Linked DNA regions of Cricetulus griseus. The protein of the gene in region 1 interacts with the protein of each later gene in a pairwise test. Links are inferred from orthologs where the notes say so. Each region holds a gene or a part of one and is shown in the gene's direction. Other genes may lie near its edges.

Region 1 (5,437 bases):
TTTTGAGAAGGACATCTTATGAAGCTCAGGTTGGCTTTGAACCATCCCTTCTCTTGTCTCAGCTTACCAGGTGATAGGAATATAGTCACTACAATGTGTCACAGTGCCCAGTTAGTTTGTTCAGATTCTTAGTATATGTTATAATCTTTTGTGCTGATGGCATAAGAAGTGATAAGTGCTTAAAAACTGTAAATTTTTATAGATAATTAACTTGAAGCAGGAAATTTATATTTGAAAATACTATTTGAGTAGACCCAAAAAGCAGTAGAATTTAAAAATAATTTCTGGAGCTGGGGCGATGGTGTCGCACACCTTTAATCCCAGCACTTGGGAGGCAGAGGTAGGCGGATCTCTGTGAGTTCAAGGCCAGCCTGGTCTACAAGAGCTAGTTCTAGGACAGCCTCCAAAGCCCATAAAACAAAGCTTGTTTTGTTTTACTTCTGTGTGGTGTGTGTGGAGGTGCTAGAAGCTGACCCAGCAGCTGCTGAATTTCATCTCCAGTCCTCTTGCTCTGACTTTATCTGTTTCCTCAGAGTCTGGAAGAGTGCTTGACTCCTAGCTAATTATCTGTGAATATTTGTAAGGAAATTTAAATCATTCACATGTAAACAATGGAAAGGTAGCTAATTCTTGTTTAAATTCTGGATAGCTTCCTGGTGGTTCAGTCATTTTTAACACTGAGCAGCAACAGCCGCAGCCACAGCTCCCTCAGTTTGTACAACAACCTCAACAGCCTACAACCTCAAGTCCCCAGCAGCCAGAGGAGCAGGTATGGGATCTTTAACCTTTTTGTGTTATGTGCATTTTGGACTCGGAACTTAGGACATGTTTTTTTTCATACATTTCCACTGTTTGAACTTGTTGAAAGAAATAGTTCCTGTGTTTTTTCTCTTTATCAACACCTGTAGCTGCCAATTATTCTAATCATAGCTGCTCTGAATGGAGGTCTCCATCTTGCCAACAAGCAAGTGTCACATAGCCAGACAGTGAATGACAGTGGCAGTTGACTCCACCTTACTATGTCTTCTCTAACTAGCCTATCATCTTCTGTTTGTAGAAATTTATTGTTGTTGCAGTGGATCTGTCTGTGTTGTCTTGAAGTATTGGGCAGTCAGAACACAGACAGAAGCAGATACTGCACACTACAGTCAGGATGTAATTAAATAAACTGAAGTTTGAAGAGAAAGGGACAAGTGTTCCTGGACTTGGGCTAGTCTGTAGAATCATTTGAGAAACTGGGTCTCACCTTGAATGTCTCAGCTGATGCTGAAAACTATCCCATCAGCCCTCTTGCATGTCCCTCTTTGAATCTTGAGTGAGTAGAACTCATCCTCTAATAGGTGTCTCAGGGATTACATGTTGGAAACCTTTTCTGTATTATATATTAGCACATTAAGGGTTTTGCTTCACTGACAAGATGTCTAGTTTTCTTTCACCTTTTAAAAACAAATTTTATTTTCTTTATGTCTGTGTATGGGTGATGGTACACATGAGTCCAGAGGACTGGTAGGAGTAGGTTCTGTCCTTACACTGTTGGGTTCTATGGTCAGCCTTGGGGCCAGAAGTTTACTGTTCAAGCTTTTTGTTGTTGCTGTTTTTGAGACAGGTTCTTACTCCAGCCTAGCTGGGAACTTGGCATTCATTCTGCCCCAGCATGCAAGTGATGGGATAACAGGTGTGAACCGTGCCAGCTGTTTACCATTTAAATTTAACATTTTAGCAGTATTGAGTGCATTCACACTGTTGCACAAAGCACTTCCTACCTTGTAAAATTGAAACTTTATAAACAGCGGATAACTTCCTCAATCCACTGGCAGCCACCATTGTGGGTTTTTTATCTTAACCATCCTGAGTGCCTCATGTAGGGAGATAGAATCATGGCCCATGTGTCCTTTTCTGTCTGTTACTGTCACAACAGACAGGTCATTCATTTGGATATGTGTCAAGAACTTGTTGGGTCTTACAGGAATTCTGTTAATTTCCTGAGACAACACACTGTTTTCTACTATAGTGCTGCATTGTTTTACATTACTACCAGCAGGGTGGTCAAGGGTCAGTCTGTCCAAATCCTAACTTTTTGTTTATTTATTTTTCTGTTTCTTGTGGTAGAGATCAAACTCCGCCTCCAGCAGGCTAGGCATTGCACTTCCTGTTTAAGCTGATTTTGTTTTGAGTAGCAGCTATCCCACGTGAGAATGAGTTGAGAGTCTCCCTGGCTAGAGCTTTTCTGCACTTGTTTGTTTCTGTATCTTTGAAGAAAAAAAAAATCTATATAAATCCCTGGCCTATTTTTTAATGAGGTTATATATTTCTGCATTGTTGAGTTGAAGACATTGTATATATATTCTTCATAAAAATCTGAGAAATCCCCAGTTACTCACTGTGATCATGGCCTGTGCAGTTTTGATACATTCTGTGCTGTACATGTTTACTTTCTTCCACTATACTTTTGGGTTCATATTGAAGAAATGATTCACAAATCAAACTGGTGAAACCATTCTCCTATATTTTCCTCTTAAGAGTTCTACAATTTTACTTGCCCTATAATTTATCAAAATTGTACCTCTCTCTGACTCTGTATGATCTTGAGAGATGACAAGAGTATATCTTGTTAAAATTTTATTTTTATATGTATGGGTGTTTCACTTGCATGTATGCCTGTGTACCATGTGCATGCATGTACCTGTGGAGGCCAGAAGAGGGTGTCAGATTCCCTGAAACTGGAGTTACAAATGATTGTGAAATGATCCTCTTCTGCAGGATCCAGGCTTGATCCCCAGCCTTGATCCCCCAGGGGATCAAGCCTGGATCCTGCAGAAGAGCACTTGGTGCTCTTAATCATTGAACCATCTCTCCAGCACAAATTATTTTAGCTGTTGTTCATTCCAAGGAGCGGGTTCCATTCTTGCTACTTCTACATATGTTCATAGTTTATATTTATATGAAACCTAAGCTACTGTTGTTTTCTTCCTCATACAGCAAAGAAAAGCTGTCTTCTCACTGACTCAAATTGCTTTGCCCTTTTTGTACAAGTCACTTGTTATTCTTTTTTTTTCTTAATTCAGGGTTCTGAACAAGGTTTAACTGCTCAAGAACAGGCCTTAACTGCTCAGCAAGCTGCTGTTATTAATCTTACAGGAGTAGGAGGCTTTACACCGTCACAGGCAGCTGGTAGGTACCATCCTGACTTCCTATTGAGATCTCACTGTGTAAATTATTTCCTTGCAAGCAATAATCAGAAAAAAACTGAAGTATTTAATCTGTGAACTATTAGATTAACAAACAGTTGGCCAGGAGTTTTTCTTTTAAAAATTACTTGGACAGCTGATTGTGAAAGTGTTGACTCACATACTTATATGTTCCATTTACAGTGGTTAACTGGTCAGCTTTTACATATTCATCTGAGTTTATAGAAAGCTGTCAAAGCAGTTTTCAGTGTTTGCACTGCAAGTGGTTAATTCTGTTTTCTTAATTACCTGAGACTACATTTTCCTAGATTGCATAATTTTTCTGTTTGTACTTCTATGAGTTAAATCTTCATAATTAGTAAAACTTCTGTGAGTTACTTGCTTATAAAAAGGAAATTTGAATGCTCCCACTTTCAGTAGGAGAAAGTAAACAAAAGGTAATACTGTACTGAATTCTGACTTCACATTTGAATAAGCCACATGATAGAATTGTATTTAAAAAAATTAACAAAGCTATAATGGAATTTGAGGATTCAGTGAATTGTCCCTATGTGTTGAGTGTTACCTTTTCTGTAACTACCAGTTTTCAAATTTAGATGTTCCTTACTTAGTAGGAGTAATCTACGTCTACAGTTTGAAAGTAATTCCTACATAGAGCTGTAATTTAGAATTAGTGAATTTCCAAATGCAGATTTGTAACTACCTTTACCAAACAAGTTGTAGTTTTTCTAAAATAGCCAAAGTAAATTTGTGAAAAGAATGGTAGACAGATCATGAGAATTTGTCTGGCTTCAGACAAAATTGCAGTCACTTAGGCCAGGTCTGCCTTGCCACCTGCACTTGAGAATGTGGTATGACTAGAATGGCCCCATCAGCTGCAAGTCTTGGCTCACTTTACTTCATATAAGGGTGGCTTTCGGACCATGGTCCAGTATCAAGTTCCATAGGGATGCAAAGAGGTTGCCATGGAGGCAGGATGCATGTAGCTGAGGTGCTAGAGTGCTTCAGTACTACAGAACACTGGATACAATGGCATAAACCTATAACCAAAGCATTCTGCAAGTGGAAAGAAGAGAATCAGGAATTCAGGGTTAACCTCTTCTACATAGTGTGTCCTGAGGCCAGCCTGGGATGAGACTCTGTCTCAAAATAAAAAGAAAAAGAAGAGATGGAAGGAATACAATACCTTAATCTGGGCACTCCCTTATCTCTGTATGGCCAGAATGTTCTGAAAACAGTGACACCCTTAATTAGCAGGAGACTAAATTTATTCTAAAATATGTATGCTTTGATACTTAAGGTTAATTTCTATTTTTCTCATTTTCTATATTGTGTTTTCTAACCCTGGGCACCTTCAAACTTTTGACTGGCCTGCTTTCCCCTTCTCCTGTAGTGTTGTCTCAGCTTAGCTCTGCCGAGAACAGACCTGAGCAAAGCCTTCTTCAGCAGAGACTCCAGCTCTCCTCTGCCTTGCAGCAGCAGCAACAGCAGCAGCAGCAGCAGCAGCAGCAGCAGCAGCAGATTCAAGTAAGCCAGCAGATTCACTTGATTAATTAAGACCCTGAGTTCCAAAAGTACTGTGCATTGCCTTGCAGTAGTAGGGCTACTTTCCTGTCTGTTAAGTCTAAAGCAATTGGTCAGTAATTTAGTTTGATTTAGAAGTCTGACATTTTTAAATGCTAGTCAGCTTGGAGCATTGAGTGTATTTTGTAACAGTGCATCTTTAAATCCTTTTTAAGGTCTTGGTGGCACATTCCACACACCCCTTTAATGTGCATTGTATTTTGAAATAGTTGTAAGTGCCAATTATTAACTTTGATTCTGTATTGTGGGAGTGTTCCTGTTAGTAAATGTCATACATGTTTAGAAAAATGTTACCTATTATTTTAAGAAAAGGTGTTAGCATACCATGATTGACTCTTGGTAATTGGTTCATTTTGCTATAAATGATCATCATACAACAAAATGGTAACTGAAGTTGCTGCATTACTGCAATATGGACTGCCAGGGCTAAGTAATAGATAATTGTATCATTTTCAAGAATAGTATTTAAAGCCCTCAGCAGACCCCTACAGTATCCTGATTTGGGGAAGTACCCTTTGTGACCTCATGCTTTCTCCTCTTGGGCTTGTTTTCATCACTCCTGGGGAAGCACCTTTCTACACCTATGCATTTAACATAATGTCATCTCCTTTTTTCCACTTTTACAGCAGTTGAGATTCTTGCAACATCAGATGGCTATGGCAGCA
Region 2 (6,299 bases), on another chromosome or scaffold:
TTCAAGTAATAAAACTGTTTCATGGGTATTATGTTTGTGTTGAACCTTGCAGGAAGCAAAAGCTGTAGGTTTGTGTGTGTGTGTGAGAGAGAGAGAGGGGGGGGCAGAGACACAGAGAGAGTTTATGGCTTTAATCTTAATGGCTAGGAAAGTAGACAGCACATTTCTTATTAATTATTTTTACTATGTGGGTAATGCACATATTTAGCTTTCTTTGGGGAACATTTAAATTAATTGACTAAGTCTAATATGAATTATGTGTTTTAATATGTTTAAGGTTGTTAAAATAATGCAAATTAACTGCTTGCACCAACGTAATAATTACAATATTAGTTTTTTCCCTTGAAAATTCTCTAAATGTAAGATGTCTAAAAATAGAGTGGAGGTGGATTGGACAGTTTGCAGATTATGAGCTGGAATAAAAACATCTCAGTTACGCCAAAAACATGGCAACCAATATTTTCTGTTATAAAAATATTTTAGATGGATTTCGGTTTTTTTATGAAAGCTGTCTGCAACTGAAGTGAAGAGCAGAAGCTTTGTTGATTCACGGGCCAGCAGTCACAATACCTGCAACACAAAGCATGCGCCTTTTCCACGCGAAGCCGGCAAGCTTCTGCTCCTTTTCAAAGACAGACACCACTCAGTTAAGCTCTGAACTATTAACCCTCACCTGGATAAAGCTCAGGAGGGAAAACAAAACTAGTCAGAGCCTTGACAGGAAAGTCCTGTTAACTGTCCACTAGAGGCTGTAATGAGACCAACAATGTCACTTGAGCATATGAAGTCTAACAAACATGGATCTTTAAGTGAACAACACAAGTTACGGAGGGGGCTGAGAGGGAAGGAACAGTCGTAGTTCTATTTAAGTAGCCGTGGATGTGTGCACGGTATTTCAAAACCTGAAAATAGATATGTATCCTACCCCCCCCTCCGGGCTTTTTTTTTTTTTCTTCTGAAGTGCTGGCTCCACAATTCAGTAGTTTAAAAAGCTCACGCATTTCTCCTGGTGATTCTGTACGCTGCTTCAGACAGTGACTAACTGTTAGGTCATAAGTAAACGGAGCCAAAAGGTCTCTCAAATCCCGCTTACAGTCAATAATAGTGGCTTCCTACAAGACCGAGGGATCGGGTTTCTAGACTCTTAGTTCTAAGCACCTGAAAGAGGTCAGATGCTGGCCTGACACCTACTGGTTTTCGAGAATTATCTGCAGCAAAGGGAACTCGGCACTGAGCGACCCTTGTAGGGTTGTGCCCGCTCTTTCTCCGGGTGCCACACCTGTTGGCAAGGTACACTCCTCCGGGGAAGATTCCTTCCCACCGAGCTCACACCTGGCAGTGCTGTAGCGGAGGGGGTGGGTGGGGGGACTCTATGTCTGCGTTCAGCCACCAGGACCAGGGAAAGTTCCTTTGCCGTGGATTCCCGAGAACCGCCATCGAATGGTCGGGGCACCGGTTACCTCACTTCCGATGAAATGAGTGATTCCCTGTTAGCTGAGAAAGGAGTGAGCAGGTCGGCTCCCAGAGCTAGAACTGAGACGTCTGATTCCTACTGCAGATTTCTAGACCTGCAGAATTAGATAGGAGGGTCGGGAGGCTGCCAGCTTGTCCGGGCAGGAAAGGTGAGGGCGCCAGTGCAAACTGAGGAAGCCTGAGAACTTTCCCGAGTTGCAAGCCAAGGCGCGGGCCCAGAGTCGGGTTGCTCAGGGCTCACCGGCTGGAGGGTTAACAGCGAGGATACAGTGAGTCCTCTTAGACACACACCGGGGTGGCGGGGTGGGGGCACCAAGGTCACTTCGGGATTAGAGTCAGCCGACTTCCCCGCATCCTTGCTTATTTTACCAGGTGGGAACCGAAGCCTGACACCCGCTGCGGTGAGTCCTCCAGGCTGCGAGCGTTGCACCCTACACTCGCCCTGTCCCCTCCAACTAGGTTGCAAGGAGACGGGGAGGCGCGCGAGCTCCGACGGGTCACCACTCCAATGACCTCATCGCCCCAACTTCCCCTCCCCTTTCTCAAACCTGGAAGGCACAGTCCCCACGGGCCGATGTCCGGGATCCGGAGCCGCAGTTAGGGAGAGGCACCGGGCCTCCCCTGGAGGGAGGGACCGCTGCTCCGGCCGGGTGCACAGAAGGGTTAAGGGCGCGGGCCGGCAGCCGCGCCGTGCGCTCGCCGTGCTCTGTGCGGCTCGCCGGGCCGCCTGCCAGAGGGTGCCCCCCCCCCCCCATGAAGTCGGATCCTTGAGCTGTGGCGGCGGCAGCCAACTGCTCCATATTTGGCTTCTATTACACATTTACATACTGGAGCGAGCGAGCGAGCGCGAGAGAGAGCGCGAGGGAGGGAGGGCGGGCGGAGGGAGGAGGGAGGGGAGGGGGGAGGAGGAGGAGGAGAGAGCAGAGTATACCGCAGACATCATTTCTACTACAGTGGCGGAGCCGTACAGGACCTGTTTCACTGCAGGGGGATCCAAAACAAGCCCTGTGGAGCCGCAGCTAGAGCTACAGCAGCCGCAGGACACTGTGTCTCTCCCTCTGTCCCCCCTTCCCCACGCAACCCCAGATCCATTTACACTTTACAGTAAGTGGCTATTTTTTTTCCTCCTCTGATTCTTTCTCTCCCCCTCCCCCTTCCTCCTCTCCCCCCCCCTCGATTTAGATTAAAATCACCCCCTCCCTCACCCCAATCCTCTCTCTCCGGAGAGGGGCCAAAGAACATCCAGCGTACAATCTCCCCTCCCCCAGTCTCAATGGGCTACAAGGAAAACAGCTGGAAGAGGAGCGAAGGAAACCGACGCGTCGTGGTGTGTGTGCGTGTGTGTGTGTGTGTGAGTGTGTGTGTGTGTGTGTGTGCGTGTGCGCGCGCGCGTGTGTGTGAGTGTGTGTACATATACCCCTGCCGGGCTCCAGCCTCCCGGCTCGGGACCCCACTCTGGGCGCTGGAGCAGCGGGCCCGGGGAGCAGCCAGGGGTGGGCCGCCCCCAGGAGAGGGGGCGCGCCCGGGCAAGGGGCGCGGGTGGGGAGAGCGGCGGCGCCCCGCTCAGGCTGCTGCTGGCCCGGCGGCGGCGAGAGCCGAGAGCCTGGTCCTCCTCCCTCCTGGTGGCGCAGGGGGAGGCGGCAGCGGCTGAGGGTCGCGCTGCCCTCTTCGCTTTTGCAAATTCTCCCTCCCGGGAGGGGGCGGTGAGCGCCGCGGGGACTCGAGGGAGGGCTGGGCTTCCCCGCCCGGGGTCGCCTAGCTTGTGCGAGGCGACCCCAAGACTGGGGTCTCCCCGCCCAGGCCAGCCTCTGGGGACCGGGGACTTTGCGCACGGCCTGGGGGAGAGGAGAGGTGGCGGCGCAGGGGGCAGGGGCGCGCAGGCTATCGGAGCGCAGCGGGAGTGGCGGCGGGGACGGGCCCTGGCTGCAGCCGCCGCCACCGCCGCCCTGTTGGTGCGGCCGCTTCCTGATCCAAAGCAGCCGCCGCCGCCGCCGCCGCTGCCGGAGCCGGAGCCCGAGCTTCCCAGCCCGGCCCGGCCCGGCGTCCCAGCCGGCGCCCGAGGCAGCAGCCGAGGAGGGGCTCTGCCCTGCTCCGGGACTGCTCGGCTGCGCGGCGGCAGGGAGGGTGAATGAAGATGGGAGGAGGGGAAGGAGGAGGCGGCGGAGGAGGAGGCGCTGCGGGGATTGGGATGCGCCCCGGAGCCCCGCGGCTCGTTCACTCCGAGCCCGAGACGCCGCCTCTGCCGTGGCTGCCGCGGCCGCCGCGCCTCCTACGTGGTTGCAACGGAGCGCGCAGGCCGGTCCCGCAGGGGGCAGGGAAGGGGCCGGACGGGCGGAGCGAGAGGTGAGGCGGGGTCGGAGAGGAGGGAGTGAGAGCCTGTGAGTGTGTAGGTGTGTATGTGTGCGTGTGTTCTCGCGCCGAGTGGGGACCAGAGCCTCCGAGATGGGGAGGGGTCCCGCGGTGGTCCTTTGGCTGACTCTGCAGCGCCTCGACTTCTCCTTAGCCACCTCCTTCAACTCTGGGGCTTGTGCGCTTTCATTTTATTTCAGACCACGTAGAGCTGACTGGAAGCGGTGAAACAATTCAGGTTTTCTAGGGAGATTGAGCAAGGACCTTAGTGGTGGGGGGTGGAAGTAGGATGGTGATCTAGACTCTGCCAGAAAAAAAAAAAAAAAATCAGGGTTTTAAGACGGTGGAGTTCAGTTCGATCCCGTGGCTGTCCTGTTTTGTTTTGCTTTCTTTCTGCATAATCCTACAGATAAGAGGGTAATATAAATACTTGGGAAGGTTGGGAAATTGCTGAAGAGTAGTAAGGGCGAAAAAAAAAAAAAGCCAGTCGGAAGCTGGTTATATAATGCTCTATGTGGCTAACAAGAAAGGCAAGCTATTTTTATTTTGTTTACCGTATGTTGTGCAGTAGGAACTCCTCCAAACTGGTTCTGTCCCCGAAGAGATTTCTTAGCTTCTCAGAGAGAGCCACAGGATACAATTAGTAAAATTAGAAGACCCCACACCACCTACAGAATAAAAAGTAGTGCCTTACAGTAGAGTTCTCACCCTTGCATGCAGAGGACTGTGTGTGTGCAATATGTTTCCCTGTGGCAATCTAGTCTCATCTCAGTGACATTTCTGTTTTATAATGCAAGCTCCCCTTAATATTTAAACATCATTGCTATAGGTCGTACACAACAAGGTAGTTACATGCTGGTTATTTTTAGGCACAGCTGGTTACTTTTCAGTAGTGTTTGCAAGCTATTTCTATTTGGTTTTCTGAAAAGCCCTGCAGTTCCTAGAAGCCCTAAGTTAAGCCCACCCTCTGGTTTCTTGATGGTGGGTAGGTAGCTAAGACAGTTTGACAGCCGAGAGTTTATTTTTATTTTATTTTTGAATGAAGTTTATGCTAGTGGAAGCTAGAGGTAGCCACCAAAAGAAAAACATGTGCACGAACTCTTGGGAAGGGATTGCACCATAACAGTTTAGCTGTGGCATTTAATCTCCTCTGATTGTCCTCTAACTGGCCATGCATCAGTCAATATTTTAGCAGCTTTGCAAATAAATGGGCTTGAATGCTCCCTTCCATAGGAGGCTGAAAAGCCTCCTGCCTGTCTGCCTCTCTCATCATACAGATACTGTCAGTGGTGTTAGTTTTCTGTACACTTACTCCGGCCCTGATCACTCATGTAATTAGATCAGGCTGCCATGGCAACAGACAGTGTTTCTTGGTCCATTCAGGTGGGTTTGCCTGAACTACTCCTAGTGTTTTATGCACAATATTCGAGCTGCCCGAACCAGAAAGGAGAAAGACTTCGCCATTTCAATTGCATCTTCTTTCAGTCATCTGAACAGGAGACTGAATGAGGCTTCTAGCTACTTAGCTTCTTTAAAGGAAACCAACCCACTGTTCCTACTGGGTACAATATGTAAATGTATCTCCCCAGACAGTGAAAGGAGCCTGACAATCCTTCTGGTGTTTATTGTTAGCAGATCAACAAGTATTTGATACTTGCTAGAAACCTTTCAGAGCTCACTGAAGCAACGTTTCTTTTGCATTCTAGAGCCTTTGGCCTTGTAGGCACTTAACTCTTTCAAGTGTGAGAGAAGAGGACACCCATGCTTTAGGACTGAAATTGGGGGCAGTGTTGCTGGCTTTTTAGGTAGTTTACTAAGAGGAGCTGGCTTCTTGGGAAAGTATATTCCCACTGTCACATTTTAAAACTTCACAGCCCACGTTATAAAAAGGGACACTGATAGTAGGCAGGCATTCTGAATGTTATCTTTCTGAATTTCGATCTGTTGCTCCTGATCCTTGATGATCTTCAGTAGTAATTGAAGATATTTTTACAGCTAAGTTAGGGATGCTACAAGCCAGTATCATGCATGGAGCTTTGCACATTAAACCGTGTATATGATACTTAGGGATATAATTTAATAAACATTAAATTATATAAATAAGAGAGCTGCAGGCCAGTGTTTGCATTCCCTTATCACCTTAAGCCTGCTAAGGGCAGAAAAAATATATATATTATGAAAGAAAAGTAGCTTTAGTTGCTGGAACCTGGCACTGTCGAAACAAAGGGAATGTTTTAATAACTTTGAATATGTCATGATTTAGTTGTGACCTTGCCAGTCAGTTTATAGTTTTAAGACCAAGTAGCTAAATCAGTTAAAATAGAAGAAAGACACACAGAGATAATACCCCCGCCCCCAACCACCACTTCCCCAGGGCCAGGATTGGGAAAGTTGTTCACTTCTCCTCACGGGGGGGGGGGGTTATGAGTTTCCCCTGGTTACCGAGTTTATGTGGTTGCTACATTACTGTGACCTGG
Region 3 (6,095 bases), about 140 Mb from region 1:
CCATCCACTCGTAGCGCAAACAATCCAGAGTGCCCAGGACCCTCTGGGCCCTGCAGGTGACCCCACCAGCCCCGCCCTGGGACGCTCCGCTGCCTCTGGGCTCCCGGGCTGCAGCCAGAGCTCCCGATGGCTCCGGACCGAGGCTCACCTGGTTCCCGGTGGCGGGCGGGAGTCGCAGACGCTGGGGTCAGACTGGCTGGAGGCGGACGGACGCGGAGGCCGGCAGTTCCGAGCCGTTGCTGCAGAACCCGCGGGCGTTCCGGGGGTGCGGCGGGTGACGCGCAGGCTGGCGTGGACGGCACCCGGGCCAGGAGAAGGGTACCCGGCTGCGCAGCACACCCGGGCCGCGGGCACCCTGGGCATCCTCGGAAACGGCCTCTCCTCTGCTCAGACGAACGCAGAGAGGCGCGCACGGTCACGTTTATCTTCAGCTTCCAAGACGGGGGGATGCTTGACCTCTCGTGGGAAGTCGAGCCGGGGCCTCAGGTCAGCAGGTTTGTCTCCAAGCTGCGCTGCCAGAACTCGCTGCCCCGTTCCCCATGCGCCCGGGCGGGGATTAAGTCTTTAAAATTCTCTGAGTTCACATTCTTAGGAGTCTCCAAAGTTTCCTTTAAATCTCTACAGTCGGGATGGTTCTCATGGGCAGGAGTCAGGCTCAAACCCCAGGAATGGGTTTTGGGTGTTTCAGAAAAGCAGCCCAGGCTGCCTGCTAGCTACTCATTGCACAGCAGAGGCTGGGCTTCCTTCCAACTGCTGGGGTCACAGAGAGTAATAAATATATATTTATTACATTTATTTATTACATATATATATTTATTACATATATACATATATATTACATATATATAAATATATATAAATAAAATATATATAGTGTGTGTAAAATATTCATATACATTATATTCATATATATATGGAAGAGGAGACCTTCCTGGAATACAATGACCTACCAGCATGTGTGTGTGCATGTGTGTGCGCACATACGTGTGGTGTGTGTGAGCATGTGGTGCATGTGTGTGCGCGCATACGTGTGTGTGCGTGTGTGTGCACGTGTGTGCGCGCACGTGTGCGTGTCTGTGTGTGCATGTGCGCGCGCGTGTGTGTCTGTGTGTGCATGTGCGCGCGCATGTGTGTGTGTGTGGTGTGTGCATGTGTGTGCGTGCATACGTGTGTGTGCATTGTGTGCGCGCATACGTGTGTGTGTGCATGTGTGTGTGTGTGTGTGCATGTGTGTGCGCGCATGGGTACATACGTCCCTGTCCCTTCCAGCACAGGAATCGAACCCAGGACCTCGCAAATGCTACGCAGGCCCCGAGCCCGGCCGGCCCGGCCCCTGGAATTTGCTTCTGAAACGTCCAGGGCGGCTCTTCAGCCTGAGAAAACTGAAGGGGGCTCCTGGGCGTCTGGAGGGGCGGCCTGGGCTCCGGGGCAGGGGCAGCGAGCGTCCGTCCATCAGTCCGTCCGTCTGTCCGTCCGTCCGTCCCTGGGCAGCCAGGGGCCGGCAGCTTTGCCGCCCTGGCGCCAGCGCTCGCCCAGCCGACCACAGCGAGGCGCGCGCGGCACGCGCTGCGCCCTCCCCGTCCGCCCCGCGCTCCTCCCCGCGCTCCTCCCCGCGCTCCTCCTCTCCGTCCGCCCCGCGCTCCTCCCCGCGCTCCTCCCCGCGCTCCTCCTCTCCGTCCGCCCCGCGCTCCTCCCCGCGCTCCTCCTCCCCGTCCTCCTCCGCCCCGCGCTCCTCCGCGCGCTCCTCTCTCCCGTCCGCCCCGCGCTCCTCCCCGCGCTCCTCCTCCGTCCTCTCCATCCTCCCCGCGCTCCTCCTCCGAGAGCCCCTGCCCCGAAGCCCTGCCAGCCCCGCCCGCTCCGTGTTCTCGCGAGAGGCGCCGCCTCCGGCGCGCTCGCAGCGGCCCCTCCCACGGGCGGGTTCCGTATTGGGTAAGATCCCGGCGGGGCGGGGCGGGGCGGTCGGACGGGGCGGGGCCGTGGGCGCGGGCGGGACGGGGCGTTGTTCTCGCGAGACTTCCGCGAGAGGCTCCGGTCGTTGCCGGGAGGAGCGCGGCGGCCGGAGCCAGCCCACGGGAGCCCGGGCGGGCGGGCGGCGCTGCAGCGCTGCGAGCGGGAGTCGTGCGGCGTCGGCGCGGCGCGGCTGCAGCGCAGCGGCGGGAGCAGCCTCGAGCCGCACAGCCGGCTCCCGCGCGTGCCCGCGGCTCTGACAGGGGCCGCGGCGTCCAGCCAGCCCCGCGCGGGCGAGCGGCGGGCGAGCGGCGGGCGAGCGCCGAGGACAGACAGCGTGCGGCTGCAGGCAGCGGCCCCGGCCGCCGCTGGAAGATGTCTCAGGAGAGGCCCACGTTCTACCGGCAGGAGCTGAACAAGACCATCTGGGAGGTGCCCGAGCGCTACCAGAACCTGTCCCCGGTGGGCTCGGGCGCCTACGGCTCGGTGTGGTGAGTGTCGCCGGGCCTGGGGTCCGGGGACGCCGGAGCCGGCGGGGCGGCCCTGCCTGCGTGCCTGCGTGCGAGCCTCCGTGCGTGCGAGCGTGCGAGCCTGAGGCCCGGCCTGTGCCCGCGGCTCCGCGATGCGCCCAGCGGCAGGAATTCTGCCCCGGCCGGGCCCTGCACCCCTCACTCACCCACCCGGGTGCAGCCGCGCGGGCTCCACCCTGCGCCCCTCCCGGGCTCCCTCCGCAGCCCCGCAGCCCCGGGAGAGCGGGCGAGCCAGCCGGGCGGAGCCTCTGCGAGGAGCGGCAGGGCACACAGCCTGACCCCGCGACTGCGGTCACCGGAACGAAACTTGCAAGAAAAAAAAAAAAAAAGCGCTCCCTTCCCGGATTTTTGTTTTTGTTTTTTCCTTTTTCTTGCAAGACTCCATCTGGAGGGGGGACAAATCTGGCTCCGGAAGCGTTCTTTGGGAATTAGCACATGAATTAGCAGCACCCCGAAGAGCCTAGAATGCTGACTTTATCTCGGCGAGCGCGGTGCCAGCTTGCGTGCTGTGTTTCCGATTCGGTTGAAAGCGTATTTCCTTTTCGGGGCGGGAGGGTGGCAGCGCCTGCAAGGACGCCACCGCTCGCCGCTTAGTCACACACCACTGCTCATTTCAGTGTTGCTCCACAAATCAGTTTTCCCATGCGGGCCACAGGGACTCCAGATCAAGTGATCGGAGGTGTAAATAGCTTTTTAGTTGAAATAATTCCTGGGATGCTTTTCTTTAAGTCCCTTTGAAGATTTGTAGGGGCGCGCTATCAGCTTGCTTTTTTTTTTTTTTTCCCAGGGCTGAGGGACGTGGCTTTGGTGAGAGCAAAGGAAACAATGTTTCTCAGCTGTCATTCACACCGTGATTCTTGATTCTTTGTTGTTCATTTGAGACTTTGTATGTCCCTGGCTGCCCTGAACTTCACTCTTCTGGCTGGCCTGGAATAAAGGCTTTTACCACCTTTGCAAGGCCCTGGGAGTGGGTTTCAAATTAAATCCATACTATAAAATATCCACTCCAGAAGTGATTAGGAACTCTCCAGGGTTCATACAGTGTCTTTTAGGCTTAGTGTCTTCTTAGAGCTCTGGTTCTTGAGGTTCAACAGCTTAGCTCTTCACGTGCTTTAGTAATTTATATACACTCCTGTTTTCGAAGGTTTGTGAAATGGTTTGTTTTGTAACAAATTCCAGGGTTCTGCATGTGTTAATCTTTAGGTATGAGTCCTGTGTTACTTAAAGTCACACCATGAATTTCCTGTTTGGTAGAACCTTCTGGGTAATTGAGATTGTGCAATAGTGTCCAGCAACAGATCATATTGCATTTGTTGGCGCAAGCTGCTTAAGTTATGTTGCAGATGGCACCAACCCTGACGTCTTTCTCCCATGTCTACAGAATGGCAGTTCACACATCTGTCATGTGTATTTGCGACTGTTATCTTCATTCTCTAATATTTAATAGCTCATTAGCATACCTCAGTCCGTCATTCCTAATTGTTAGAGTATCAGGCTTTGCTTTCCATTTGAATGTTCAGGGAGTGGTGAAACAGAGTATCTCCACTGTAGGCCATCTGGGTGGGTGAACTTGCAAGGTTTCCTATGGACACTGCTGTCCTGGCCGAAGAGCCAGGTTTGCAATGAAGTTCAGTGGTGAAGTGCCATTAAAACTACGCTCACTTCCTCTGGTGCTGTTCTTTTCTATGAAATAGAATTCAGCACCACCTCACAGTTGGAAAGGACTTGTACCAAACAGCTTCTTAAAAGTAGGTGATACAGGGCAGGGCGGTGGTGGCACACACCTTTAATCCCAGCACTGGGGAGGCTGAGGCAGGCGGATCTCTGTGAGTTCGAGGCCAGCCTGGTCTCCAGAGCGAGTGCCAGGATAGGCTCCAAAGCTACACAGAGAAACCCTGTCTTGGTCTTGAAAAACCAAAAAAAGTATGTGATACAGGACCAGTGATGTAACTCATACTACAGCCCCTGGTCTTGCATATGGGAGGCCCTGCATTCCATCCCCAGCAATACACAAACAACACAAAGCAACTCATTAGCAACTCATTATGTATAAAATGTAAAAAGGTATGCAGCAGGAAGCCTTCTGTTTCTGTTCCCCAGCCCTGTTTTCTCTTCCTTCAGTGACAACCGCTATTCGGTTCCTTGCATGTCTTTTTCAGAGACGAAGAGTTTGTACCAGAGATGTAAGGTGTAGCCTATAACCTGTCGATGGGGGAAAAGACAGCTGAAATTGTACATGATGACTGAGCAAATAACTCTCTCAAGTTATTTGAAGCTGGGTTTTTTTTTTTTTGAGGATTTATTTATTTTATATATGTGTGGGTATTTTGCTTACACACATATATGTGCACCCCATGAATGCTTGGTGCCATGGAGACCCTGGAACTGGAGTTACAGACAGTTGTGAGCTGCCATGTGGGTGATGGGAATTGAACCTGGGTCCTCTACAGGAGCACTGACCACTGAATCATTTCTTCAGGCCTAAAGTTGTGTTTTCAGTTAGCTTTTTGGGTACAACTGAAAACACCTTTTGAATTTCTTTCTTTTCTTTTTCTCCATCCCCCTCCCCCGCCCCCAAGACAGGATTTCTCTGTGTAGCCCTGGCTGTCCTGGGACTCTCTCTGTAGACCTGGCTGGCCTCAAACTCACAGAGATCCACCTGCCTCTCTGCCTGACTAGGAGAATTAAAGGTGTATGCCACCATGCCTGACTTCTTGAAATTCTTTTTTAACCCACTTGGTGGCTTGTGTTCCCATTCTCCACTCTGATCCTCCGAGACAGTTTGATATCGGAAAACAGTGATGTCCATTTGAATGCAAGTGACTGAGGGGGATTCAGACTGAAGCCTTGAAAGGAGAGAAGGCAGTCCAGTTGGCAACACTGGGTTACACTTATAATATCACAGCATTTTTTAATATGGCTTATTGAGCTGGCCCTGAGGTCTCTGGATAAAGGAATCTTGGTATGGGACATGGTACACTTTGATGTGTAGCGCTTTTTTTTTTAAGCTCAAGCCTATATTTTAATTTGCACTATGTAGTGAACAGCAGTGACAAAAAAGTAGCGCTCTGTATTGTGCAGTAACCAACTATGAATCAAAGATCAATGAAAGACCAGAAAGTTGAGGGCTGATAGAGCTACACAGTATCTTTCTTTCAAAAAGAGCAAAAGGAACTAAACTAAGTCTTCAAGTTTAAGGAACTTTGTTCATTGTCTGTAGAGGGAAATGAAGCAAAATTGTCTAAGACCACATTGTTGCAATGCATTGATTTTGTGGTTTGGGACATAGGGGAAAATCTCTGTGGTGAATTTAAGGAAATACAAACAGGAACTTCGGTGCCTTCCCTCTGGGGAAGGGGTCTTTCTAGGCCCTTGCTGAGCACACTTGGACACTGCATTGGGAGTGAGGATTGAGAGTCACTTCCAGATCATCTGTAGCCATTTGTTCGTCAGTATTTATTACATACCACCAAGTAGTGGCTGGGTGCAGAAGACAGTTCGCTTTGTCATCGGACTTGCAGAGGAATGAGTTTAATGGTTACATTTTACCGGTTGCTTACTGTGTTGTAGGCATGGTAATGTACAACTTATGATTGTCATGTAAACATGTAACTAAAC

What was found.
Region 2: the proteins of Supt20h (region 1) and Atxn1 interact in binary tests that used the Homo sapiens proteins (3 or more experiments, as listed by UniProt). The link is inferred for Cricetulus griseus from reciprocal best matches to the Homo sapiens genes SUPT20H and ATXN1.
Region 3: the proteins of Supt20h (region 1) and Mapk14 interact in binary tests that used the Homo sapiens proteins (3 or more experiments, as listed by UniProt). The link is inferred for Cricetulus griseus from reciprocal best matches to the Homo sapiens genes SUPT20H and MAPK14.

The regions. Positions count from the first base shown.
Region 1 is NW_023276806.1:96,570,328-96,575,764, reverse strand, and holds part of Supt20h (transcription factor SPT20 homolog), read left to right. Parts: intron 1-649; coding exon 650-769; intron 770-3,065; coding exon 3,066-3,171; intron 3,172-4,581; coding exon 4,582-4,715; intron 4,716-5,398; coding exon 5,399-5,437. UniProt on the Homo sapiens protein: Required for MAP kinase p38 (MAPK11, MAPK12, MAPK13 and/or MAPK14) activation during gastrulation.
Region 2 is NC_048596.1:265,664,544-265,670,842, reverse strand, and holds the start of Atxn1 (ataxin-1), read left to right. Parts: upstream 1-2,355; 5' UTR 2,356-2,577; intron 2,578-3,657; exon of another isoform or gene 3,658-3,816; intron 3,817-6,299. UniProt on the Homo sapiens protein: Chromatin-binding factor that repress Notch signaling in the absence of Notch intracellular domain by acting as a CBF1 corepressor. Binds to the HEY promoter and might assist, along with NCOR2, RBPJ-mediated repression. Binds RNA in vitro.
Region 3 is NW_023276806.1:233,800,830-233,806,924, forward strand, and holds the start of Mapk14 (mitogen-activated protein kinase 14), read left to right. Parts: upstream 1-2,151; 5' UTR 2,152-2,322; coding exon 2,323-2,438; intron 2,439-6,095. UniProt on the Homo sapiens protein: Serine/threonine kinase which acts as an essential component of the MAP kinase signal transduction pathway.